Linked DNA regions of Nothobranchius furzeri. The protein of the gene in region 2 interacts with the protein of the main gene of each other region in a biochemical or structural test. Links are inferred from orthologs where the notes say so. Each region holds a gene or a part of one and is shown on either strand. Other genes may lie near its edges.

Region 1 (5,665 bases), on a different chromosome or scaffold from region 2:
GCCTATGATTACGCACCCGGTCTCACAATAAGACTGGGTTGGAACTGTTCAGGTTTACGCAGACAATCTTTACATTTAGAATTGGCATACAGATGTAAAATTAATGCAGTAAAATATAAAGCATTTTATTTAAATATCCATTCATTATTTTACAAGCACAGAGAGCCGCATCAGATGGATGGAAGAGCCGCATGCGGCTCCAGAGCCGCGGGTTGCCGAACCCCGACCTAGTGGATGAGGGGGGAACTGCAATTTTTGCCACGTGCATTGGCTAATCCTTTGGCAGGTGGAGTTTGCTCCTTGGTCACAATACCATCAAACTATGCATTTGATGTATTCAGATTATAGCTTGTGATCATCATTAGATGATGAAACAAAAGGATCACTGTTCAAGTGAAAGAATCATTATCATCAACTTACATCCTCACACATTTATGAGTAGTGATTTATAATCAAAATGCAGGGGGTTTTCTTTTCATCAAAAATTTGATTTGGGTCAGTTTTGGATTTTAAATTGTAATTAAACAGGAAAACATCATTTTAAAGAGCAGAAATTATCCACAACAAGCATTCTTTCTGCATATTTTGTCATGTTTCCGACCCAGTAAATTGAGTCTGAATTATGTACCTGCGTAATGACTTAAAAGTGGAAGTTCACACGACCTCCTAGTGTTACACGAAGGTTTGCCCAACATGCTGCCCTTGCTGCAACCTGCGAGTAACACAATATTCAATAAGAGAGCAAAAGACTGCACCTAGAAATAGCTTAACAGTGTTTGCCCGCATTACAATTATGATCACTATTCTCTAAGTTGGGAGGAAAGTGAGATTTTTGCCCAGTTAATAAAATATTGCTGTTTTTATTTCTAATTTGGAGCAAATCCTTAAAATCAACCTTTAGATAAAATCATTATTATATAGATATAATCACAATTACTAAACTAAATAAGGGATCTTGTTTAGAAATAAATACTTGTTAAAAATAAACAGAAGTTCACTTATTTATTTAAAATAGCAAGTTTCTAATAATTATCTGCCAGAATGTTTTTTAGCAATATTAACCCAATTTATGCAATGGTAAAAAGTTGAATAGTTGAGACAAAGATTAAGTGGTTTGTTGACCTGCCTAAAAAAATCTTTAAAAATGTTCTTAATTTGACTATCAATAAACTTTTGTCATAACATCCAGGAAATTGGTAACAATATTGACCAGATTTATTTAGTTCTGCAGAACATTTTTATTTGATTAATTTAGGATTATTTGTGGTCTTACATATTTTTCTACATTAAAACCTTTGATTTGTACTTATTCACTCGACTCTTTTGATTAAAAATGTTTATTGCAGATGAACCTTGTTAAAATGTTAAGATTCTAAATCTGATGTGTCTAAATTTATCAGAAGGGGCAAAATGATCAAGTCGATGTAAAAAAAATGTAAAATACAATTTAAAAAATGACTTCTTTAGGTTGATTTAACAAAAAAAAAGTTCTCCTCACAATACATTCATAATATACATATTAGGACAAATCTATCTATCAATCAATCAATCAAAGCTTTATTTATAAAGCGCCTTCTGCAACCCTATCGGGAAGCCCAAGGCGCTGAACATGGTACAAGAGAAAGTTAAATATGGTGAATAAATCGAAAATAAAAGCAATTCAAATTACAAAATACAAAAAAAGGTTAAACATTCTAGTAGAAGACAGATCTAAACATAAAAGTGTCAGAAGCTGCCAGTCTTTATCAACAGCACTCTAGAAAGACAGAATTAATCCCAGATATTTATTTGGGGGCCACATAAAACCACTTCAAGGGCTATAAATGGCCCCCGAGCCACACTTTGGACATGTCTGTTTAAAGGGTAACATCAAGAGAAACGTCACAATTAAAGAATGTACAATAAGGTGCTATGAAGCATTTTTATGTCAATTAAAGGAAACTTTTATTAGACAAAACAAATAAAAGACCAGCAGGCTTGTGTCTAAAGAATCTCAAATCAGCTCAGATTGTTGCATAAAATCTTTAAACAGCAGCTTGGGTTTAATTTGTAGATTATTCCTGACCAGGCCTTCATATCAGCTCACAGTGAAGACAGAACAAGTTAAATGAGATTAAATTGGATTATTATCATTAAGATTGAGTATCAGGGGTCCAGTCAGGGATGGAGAAAGTCTTAGATTGTGTCTTCTGCTGTCCTACAGTGTAGTCCACGTGGACGCATATGTGTCTGGCGCTGTCCTCGGAGGGATACATTCTAACCTCTCCGGTAACCGGCGTGTCCTGCACCACTTCCACCGGAGAGTCCAGGTACAGCACCGCCTGCTTCCAGTGAGTCTCCGGTTGGGACGGGGATGTGGACAGCACCAGTGTCTGCGGTACGCCCGGACAGGGAAAAGTCACCGTGAAGTAAACACAGAAGGCGTTCACCGCCGCGGAGCCGAACGACTCGCACCGGAACGGGCCCTTCACCGACCGCAACTCCTCCACGGTCACCGAGTTCAGGTCCAGTTCCGCGAAGCGGGCCGGGTGGGAGAGCACGTCCTTCACGGCCACCGAGCTCACCGTGATGTCCGTGTTCTTGATGCATTTCCGAGCGAAGTCAGACATGCAGGACATGTCCACCCCGTACTGATCCTTGACGGTGTACCAGAAAAACAAGCGGTCCTCCACCACCGGGTCGCTGATCGGGGTGATGTAGAGTTCGGCTCTGCTCGGCAGGATCAGGCCGCCGGGCTTCAGCCACTTGTCGCGCGCGTACAGCACCGAGTTGAGCATGGACTCGTGCAGAAGAGCGTAGCCCATCCACTCGCTCACGATCACCTCCACTTTCTCCGGTAGGTCCACGGTCTCCACCGTCCCCCGGATGACCTGAACTATGTCCTCCACCTTGTTGTGCTTCACGATCTCCTCCGCCTGCTCGGCTATGGAGCAGGCCTCCACAGCGAACACCCTCCTCGCGCCAGCCTGAGCACAGAAGATGCTTAAAACGCCGGTTCCTGCCCCGACATCCAGAACGGCTCTTCCTCTGATCAGCTCAGTGTTCCTAAAGATGGCCGTCCGGTAAGCGTTGGTTCGGACGTGGTCTGCTATCATCTCCTCGTGTATGGTCACATCAGAATAGCTGTCAAAATAAAGTCTATCCTGGCGACTTTTGTCTAATTTTCTCTTTTTTCCTGCATGAGACATCTTTACTGAACGCTAGTGCGCGACAAGGAGGTGATGTATTGTTGCAGTACTTTCACCTTGTCGGATATGGGACTTGTAGTTTTCCACTGCGCATAATTTACGTGAGTCAATGTGAATTAAACTACAAATCCCGTAAGTAAGTAGAAGCCACGTTGGGTTTCGTTGCAGTCACGGACGTTAAACAAGTAGGGAAATTGACCTCCTACTTCTAATGTGGCTTATAATAAAACCTTTCAAATTCGGCGCTTTTAACGTTAATTTTGTTGCATTACAAAGTCTCACATTGCTATTTTTGAAAGGATGAATGACTCATGTGTTTGATAAACTATATTCATTTTCAAAACATGTGAATCCTAAGAAACACACTTTAAATGGTCTGGTTTTGTTATATTAGACTCACACACTTTTATATGTTCCTCATAAGGAAAACATGAAGATAAACGTGCTCTCAATTTGTCATGGTCTGTGTCTGTGTCTCTTTGTGTTCCTCTTGTGTCCCCTGGTCTTCAGCCCTCCAGATATTCCCTCTCAGGTCCTGTGTTTCTTCAGTCTCCCCACCATAATTTCCATAGGTCTATTATTCTAGTTGTGTGTGTGTGTGTGTGTGTGTCTGTGTGTGTGTGTGTGTGTGTGTGTGTGTGTGTGTATGTGTCCTCCTCCAGCTAGGTGTGTTTGTGTGTGTGTGTGTGTGTGTGTGTGTGTGTGTGTGTGTGTGTGTGTGTGTGTGTGTGTGTGTGTGTGTGTGTGTGTGTGTGTGTGTCCTTTCCCAGTTAGGTCTGGTGTCCTCTCCTGCTCCTCCTCCCTGATTAGTTATCACTTTCACCTGGTTCTCTCCCCTCACACCTGCAGCTCATCGTCCTCCCATTATGCCCCAGTGTATTTAAGCCCTGTCTTGTCTCAGTGTCTTGTCGGTCCATTGTTGTTTTGTATGTCAGCGTTTTCTGGTGCTCTGTGTGAGCCTTTTGTCTCGTCCCCAGACTTTGTGCTTTAAGTGAGCTTTCGGTGTCCTGTGCTCCAGGACTTTTGGATTTTTGGCTTGCAGCATTTTGGATTTATTTTTGTTGTCATCTTACAATTAAAAGGATTTATTCTTTACATCCACTCCTACCTTGAGTCATCCTGGGTCCATGGACGTAATTTTCACTTTAGAAGTGGGGGGGACATGGAGGGGGGGGGGGGGGTATCTTTACAGTATGCTCTAATGGGAAACAGGCTTCAACACAAACGGTTGTTTTCCACTTGGTCCTAGAGCTCAACCAGTGTCAATTTAATATAGCGTAATATTGTTTTTGGATGGTAAAAAGTGCAGGGGTCAAAACTTGACTTTGGAAAAAGTGGGGGGGACATGTCCCCCCTGTCTCCTCCCAAAATTACGTCCATGCCTGGGTCTCTGCATTTTTGGGTCCTAACCACCCCCTTAACGTGACACACATATGGACACCTTTATGTCTGAACATGGTGTTCATTATGGACAATCCATGATGAGCACAGAAGTCCAATAACAAAACAGTGCTTGTAATCAGATTAGGGGCGTCGTTCCTCCCGACCACACTTCTCAAGGTCTCACTGTTGTTGTCCACGTGAGCGTTAAAGTCCCCCAGCAGAATGATTGATTCACCAGAAGGAACAATCTTAAACACCCCCTCCAAGGACTCCAAAAAGAGTGGGCAGTCCAAACTGTAGTTCCCCACCAGAGAGGTGACATTCCGCATGCCAAGAGCCAGCTTTTGTAGCTGAGGATTAGACCGTCAAGGTTCCCACCTTTGACTACCACCTATCACACATTGCACCCAACCCCTTTGGCCCCTCCCACAAGTGGTGAACCCATGGGAACGAGGACCCACGTTTCCTCTTTAGGCTGTGCCCAGCAGGGCCCCATGGGTGAAAGCCCAGCAACCAGATGCTTGCTGACGTGCCCCACCTCCAGTCCTGGCTCCAGAGGGGGGTCCTGATGGCCCAAGTCTGGGCGATGCAAGACCATTTATATAAACCATCATAAGGGGTCTGTGGTCTGCATGTTGTCTGATCCCTCACGTAGGACCTGTTTCCCATGGATGACCCTAACAGAGGCATAAAGCCTTAGACAACTTAGCTCCTAGGATCATTGGGACACTCAAACCCCTCCACCAGTGGCAGCCCAGGGAGGGCACATAGAAGAGCAAAAAAAAAAAAGAAAAAAAAGCACAAAAATGAAGAGAAACTTTATGGCCTATTCTTACTTGTAATTATGATTTTGGACAACAAATCTTTTAGTGTTGGACACCTGATTAGTTATCTTTACTACAGGGTAAAGTTTGACAAATCATGCATCTGTAGAGTAAGCAACACCAGTTAAAATGTGGGCAATGCCCCCAAAATATACCATATTCTACTGTTGGGGTTAACTTTTTGCCAGTTGTGGTGCACGGGCCAACTCAGGGCATCAATGATGCTTTCAAAGTTCAATGTGTTTAAACTGTGATCAAGGTGGACAATGA
Region 2 (5,898 bases):
TCTTGGGATGCTTTTTCTTCCTTCTCCTGCGACGAGAAAAGCATGAATTAAACTTTGTCTGATCCCTCGTGGATCAACAACTTCTGAGGGTGAGTCATGCCTCGACCTGACCATCTTCTGCTTTTATGAACTCCCAAGCACCAATGTGGAAATGAAAAATGTTTGATGAACCGCTGTGGCATGAAAAGGCACTCAGGGGAACCATGGGTAGTGAAAAGTGATTCATAACCGATGAGTCACAATGAGCCATCCTGCTTTTCCCCTCTGAACACTCACCACTTCAACACGTTCATTCATAAAAAGGGTGGGCTAGTTGGGAGGGCAGTCGGATTTCCCGTCATGACCAATGCAATCCTGACTACTTTTAGGGTATGGCCCAACCACTCACATTCATTGTGGAATGTCACTATAAAACCACAATTTAGACAAGCAAAAACAAACTATCCCTGCTGTCACGTTAAGAACCAAAACAAGGCAGCAGACGAGGGAACCAGTAGGCATTCATACCAGTTTGTTTAATTTACAGACATGGCAACTGTGGGCATTTTCAACTCACCTCCTTCTTGGGTCTGCCCCTGCGTTTGCCCCCTGCAGACGCAGCTGCTGGTGCTTTCTGTGAACAAAAACAACTAAAAAGGTCAATATAGCTTTAAGAGGGTCTTGCTGTTTAGAGATGATTTTCATTCTCAGCGACGTGCTGGGGATCTGTCGTCCATTTGCAGATTAGCCTGTAGATGGCAGCCGTACTTCTGCAACAAGACCGATCGAAAGGGGGCACTGGGTTCATTGGCTATTATCTGGACGGCCGACAGGAACTGCACACGGGGCACTCCAGTTCGCTGGCCACCTGGTCCGAGGCTCAGAGACAGCTGGTGAAATCGAGTGGAGACAAACCCTACAGCTTGGCCCGCACTTCTAAACCTATACCGGTGCTTCCTAAACTCCCTTATTCACTCCATCTCCCATACGTAACAGCAAATGGCGCGCACACACAGGGGAGCTAAAGGGTTGGGGAGAGGGAGAAAAAGCAGTTGTTGCTATGGAGACGACAGGCAGAGAGAAGAAGTAGGGCTGTGTGCTGGTTGGGGGCGGAGGGGTGCTTAGTGTCAGCCTGGAAACAGTCTTGCGGCCTCTGCACCTGCACCACACAGTGCATGACAAGCTGCAGGAAGCTGGAGGACAGGAAGTACAGGGTAAATATCAGGCCCCCCCTTCCACCCCCAAATAAAGCAGTTAACCAAGATTTATTGGTATTGATAATCACTTTGCCGCCCCCAATAGGGAGTCATGGCCGGGCTATTTGTGGCACCTTGAACTGCAGCCAATAAACATATATCAACAGCAGAGGATGAGGTTAGCTGTTGCAAACTACGGGAATATAAGTTTCAAACAAGACGAGCAATGACTTACCTTGCCCTTGCCAGCAGTCTTGTTTTTGCTGCCCTTTGGTCGCCCTCTGGGCCTCTTTGGAGTTGGTGACCCACTTGGCTCCTGGATATCAAACAGGTTATAGTTAATATCAAGAATGTTTTAATAGATGCCCAAAAAGGCTCAATTTTAGTGCACATCAAAACAATTGAAATCAAAACAAAAACTGACTGAGCAATCTGGCTGAACCGTAAACATCAGAGGGGACTGCCATAACATCTGAAAGTTCAGCAAATTCATGCACAACTCGTGGTTTAAACCGGCGTCATGGCCCACTCGTCTTCTGTTGCTCGTCTGATGTGTTGATCATCACAGCTCTTAGCAACCCAGCAACTCAATAGTAATACACAGCAGGCCAAGTGACATCTATGTGATCCACTCTGGGCCACAACTCTCCTATGTAATGCAGAAGAGGATGAGGGGGAGGTTAAAACCAGTTTAAAGGTGTTAGGTTACTGGTTGCTTACAAACTGGTGAGACATGCTGGGAATTTGCTGTACACCTCAGCAGTGGAAAAGCAGGGGGCAAATGGCCACAAGGCCATGCTCCTGCAGTCTGGGCTATTTTATTCTGGTCTCAAGACTCTGATATGCACAAACCTGCATGTGCGTCTAACTGAGCCTCAGCGATCACAAGAGGACCTGAGGCTCAGCACCACACCGGCCTGGTTCTGCATGCATTTAAGATCAAGTTTATTCCCATGGCATGCAAAAATAAAAATAAAAAATAATAATAATAATAATAAAACGACGGGGTGGTAGAAAATCAGCTAGTATACCAGAATAAATAGACACTACTTACGTCAGAGGTTTTCACCTCGAGCGATTTGCGGGGTCTTCCACGCCCTCTCTTCTCTGCCGCCTCCTTCTCTTTCGGTGAGACTGTCCCCTTGTCGCTCATATTTGCTCTTCCAACCTGAATGGATGATGATGATAATGATGATTTAAATAAACCCTACCGGCCGGCCTTGATGCTGCAAGAGGCGTCGAGTTCACACAGAAAACTGAGCACAGCGTGTACCCGTGAGCCACTAAACCCACTGACCGCAACAACAAACCAAAGATGACCGACCGCACCACGCACGGTTTAACCCAATTAATCCGCGCTGGTTTCCAGGTCTATTTCCGTCTCGTCTGCGCTCTGCGACACAAGAGGTTTACGCAGAAAACCGATCACAGCAGGCTTAACCTGCAAAAGACCACAAAACCAGCCAATTCCCTCCGGTACCGACCGCGCTTATAGGCCCCGCAGGAGCCCAAAGACCAGGCCTGCGCACGGAACCATCTCAGAGCAGCGTGTCTGCACGCCTGGGCCGCGGAGAGATCCACCGACACTCACACACCACAATGGCCGCGGCTCGTTTCTGGTTGCAGGCAACAAGCTTTGAGCTGAATGGCTTTTTAAAAATTAAGTGGCGGAGGGGAGAGCAGCAACCGAGGTCTCCGTGTAGCGGAGCGAGCCCGGACCGAAGCAACAAAAGACGGCTGACAACGTGCCGCCGTTTCCCGCCGGAGCTCCGGGCTGTTTGTAAAACCGGTGGTCGCATCCCCACTCACCTTTGTCACGGTGCTATCGCCTCCGTGCTAAACTCAGGTAGACTTGTTTCCGTTTGAAGCCCGGCTGGTGCGTACCCGGTTAAAAAGCTGATCTATAGGCTACAGCTTTTATTCGTCAGACAGCCCGCCCATTTAAAAAGCCCAGCTCACGCGCCTTAAAAACACACACAAACCCATTTAAATAAGCGAAAAGCTGAACTTTCTGCATTTTTGTACATGAAACATATTTATTTTTACCAGCACGGTGAGAAGTTTAATCCAAAGGTTTCCCTCGGTAGAGCACGTGCGTCTCGCGCAGATAAAGGAATGAAAGGCGCCGGAGTCGGACAGGAGGAGTTTTTGGACAATTTAAAGAACCGCCCTCAGGAGAGCGGGAACACTGGAGGGCGGGGATATGATAACGAGGGCCACCAACAGAACCAGAACAGCCCAACCTCCACTCAGCACCGCCGGTGTTCCGACTATCCGTGCCCCCCGTCGAAATATTATACTTTGGGGAAATGCGCAGCGCCTGCGCAGGCCGATTATTGCGTCACAGGGTGTTTACAAGTCGAGACGCGCTACCTGTGGAAGTTTACGTTTAATCTCGTCACTTATCTAGTTACTTTCAACTCGTCGAAGGTCACAGTACGTATTTCTTTAAGTTGTTATATAAAATTATTGCTTACTGTATGTTTACCGGACAGCTTGTGAATGGCTTCTAAAATATCGTTATTATAATGTAAACAAGACATTTCTCCCATTGTTTACATTCATTCTGAAAGAGTCCCAAATTAATATCCAAAAGTTTTATATTATACATATAATAAATTTATCATAGTTGTATAATAATCTCCAAAATTATACATTCAAACAAATAACTAAGTATTGGGGGGAAAGCAAAGTGAGTTAATTTGTCTAATAAAGGATTATAGAATGATAAGAGCTAACGTCTTACAAATCTCCATTTTTATGAATCACTTTCTTGACATGGGTGAAAGTAGTTGGTAAATCGTCATTGTTTTAGCATCTAAGGGGTTTTACGAAATGACTAAATTGCTTACAATCCACTTTTTTCATAAAATAAAATTAACCTACATTGTGTCATAGCCTCCACTGTCATGGCGCTTGAACTATGATGACGTCCCCCAATGTAAACAATCCCTTTGCTCATGTTTAAATAACGAGACTAAAAAGTAATTTAATTTATACATATTATTTAAATATATTAATAATATTATTTTGTACAAAACCCAAACGGAAACAATGCATGTGGAGCTAATTTTAATCTAATTTTCTTTTATTTGTTGTGCATTAAAGAAAAAACAATTATGTTTCATTTAAAATTCAAATGACATTTTTGAGCAGCTATTTCAGAATTATATTTGAATCTTAATTATATTGAGGAGTTTTTTTTCTTTATGTTGATTTTCCTTTCTTTTTTTTAATTATGCTAATCTTTAAAACATATTTGTGTATTCATTTTGTATGAAACCCTAAGAGAAACAGTAAATGTGGAGCTAATTTTAATCTACTAGCCGAAGTTTAGTTTGAATGAAATTAAATCGTAAACTCCCTATGAAGCATCGCTGATTTTCTCAAAGAATTTTACTGTTCTGTTAACATCGGTGCTCATCTACATGTGCAGACATGGTCCCTAAATTATTCTTGTATTAGGCAACAATTAATATGAAAAGTTTAACATAGATTTTTATTAAACATTTTATGAGTCATTTGAAATAAAAATTGTACTTTTTTGCTGCTATTTCAGAATTATATTTGAATCTTAACTATAATTAGCAAGGTTTTTCTTCATTATGGTTTTCTTTCTTCTTTTTTTAACCTAAAACTAATCTTTAAAAAAAAACTTGTACTTCTGTCATCAAAAGCTGGAAGGTGATTTACTCATTGATGTTGTTCACAAGCAAAACAAACTTTAATGAATAAATCTGAAGAAAATATTCAATGCAGACATGTGACTCAACGTCTTTTGGGAAGACTCAAGGTAAATAAACAGAGTTGTAAAGCAGCAGCCTAGTAATTCAGTAAAAAAGTCGCAGCCCCTAGAGGAAATAACTGTGGTGGAGGAGAAAAATAAACCCATCTTTTATTCATAAACCTCTAACTTATGAGGATGTCTGGGACATCGTATCATTTTGGGGAAGACATCGCTCACTCATGTCAGTTTACATGGACTGGCTGCAAGCTAAAACAGCTGGTGAGTCCATCTTTGTAAGGGCAGGGATGATTTGCAAGAGTTGTTGCTCCTAATGCAAATCAAGGCGTCTTTGAAAGAAACAAGAGCGTAAAGGATTAAGGATTATTTATTTTGTGTAGTGATGAAAGCCTCTCTCATATGCTTCTCATTTCATTGCAAATTCTGTTCTTGTTTAAAATGTGACTGAAAAACTATCAGAAAAAAATATTAGGGCAGGGCAATGTGGCCAAAAATATTTATCACGATATATATATATATATATATATATATATGTGTGTGTGTGTGTGTATATATATATATGAAAATTTGCTATAACGATATAACTGACGATATGACTGATGTGAGACAAAGTACTTTACAAATTAACAACTTTATTAGTGCAAAGAACTCACCAATATATTTGCACTTAAACAGCAGTTGTTATGTGCATCAAAACTACATTAAAATGTTTGTGCAAATGGGCTGAATATCCTCCTGAGCATAACCATGTGTAATATCTAATAACTAGGAGTTGCTTTGCAACATGAAACTCAAACTCTTGAGTAAAAAACACAATAAAAAAACATGGATAAAGTGCCCTTTTCAAGTTTTCAGATTTTTTTGTCAGAAACAACATGTTCCCAGATGTGGGCTTAGGGGACGATCGTAGACAAGTTACAACGTTTCCACCTGTACTGAACAACCTTTCAGATGCAGAGCTATAGTTGCTGGAATTCA

Evidence for each region. The genes of interacting proteins can lie anywhere in the genome.
Region 1: of the proteins of hmga1a (region 2) and prmt6, one has a biochemical effect on the other in vitro, tested with the Homo sapiens proteins (2 studies listed by BioGRID, with this or other methods). The link is inferred for Nothobranchius furzeri from reciprocal best matches to the Homo sapiens genes HMGA1 and PRMT6.

The regions. Positions count from the first base shown.
Region 1 is NC_091747.1:40,742,017-40,747,681, reverse strand, and holds prmt6 (protein arginine N-methyltransferase 6), read right to left. Parts: upstream 3,264-5,665; 5' UTR 3,189-3,263; coding exon 2,133-3,188; 3' UTR 1,534-2,132; downstream 1-1,533. UniProt on the Homo sapiens protein: Arginine methyltransferase that can catalyze the formation of both omega-N monomethylarginine (MMA) and asymmetrical dimethylarginine (aDMA), with a strong preference for the formation of aDMA.
Region 2 is NC_091755.1:54,121,460-54,127,357, reverse strand, and holds the start of hmga1a (high mobility group AT-hook 1a), read right to left. Parts: upstream 3,431-5,898; 5' UTR 3,222-3,430; intron 3,140-3,221; exon of another isoform or gene 2,985-3,139; intron 2,344-2,984; 5' UTR 2,329-2,343; coding exon 2,230-2,328; intron 1,492-2,229; coding exon 1,411-1,491; intron 614-1,410; coding exon 557-613; intron 27-556; coding exon 1-26. UniProt on the Homo sapiens protein: HMG-I/Y bind preferentially to the minor groove of A+T rich regions in double-stranded DNA. It is suggested that these proteins could function in nucleosome phasing and in the 3'-end processing of mRNA transcripts.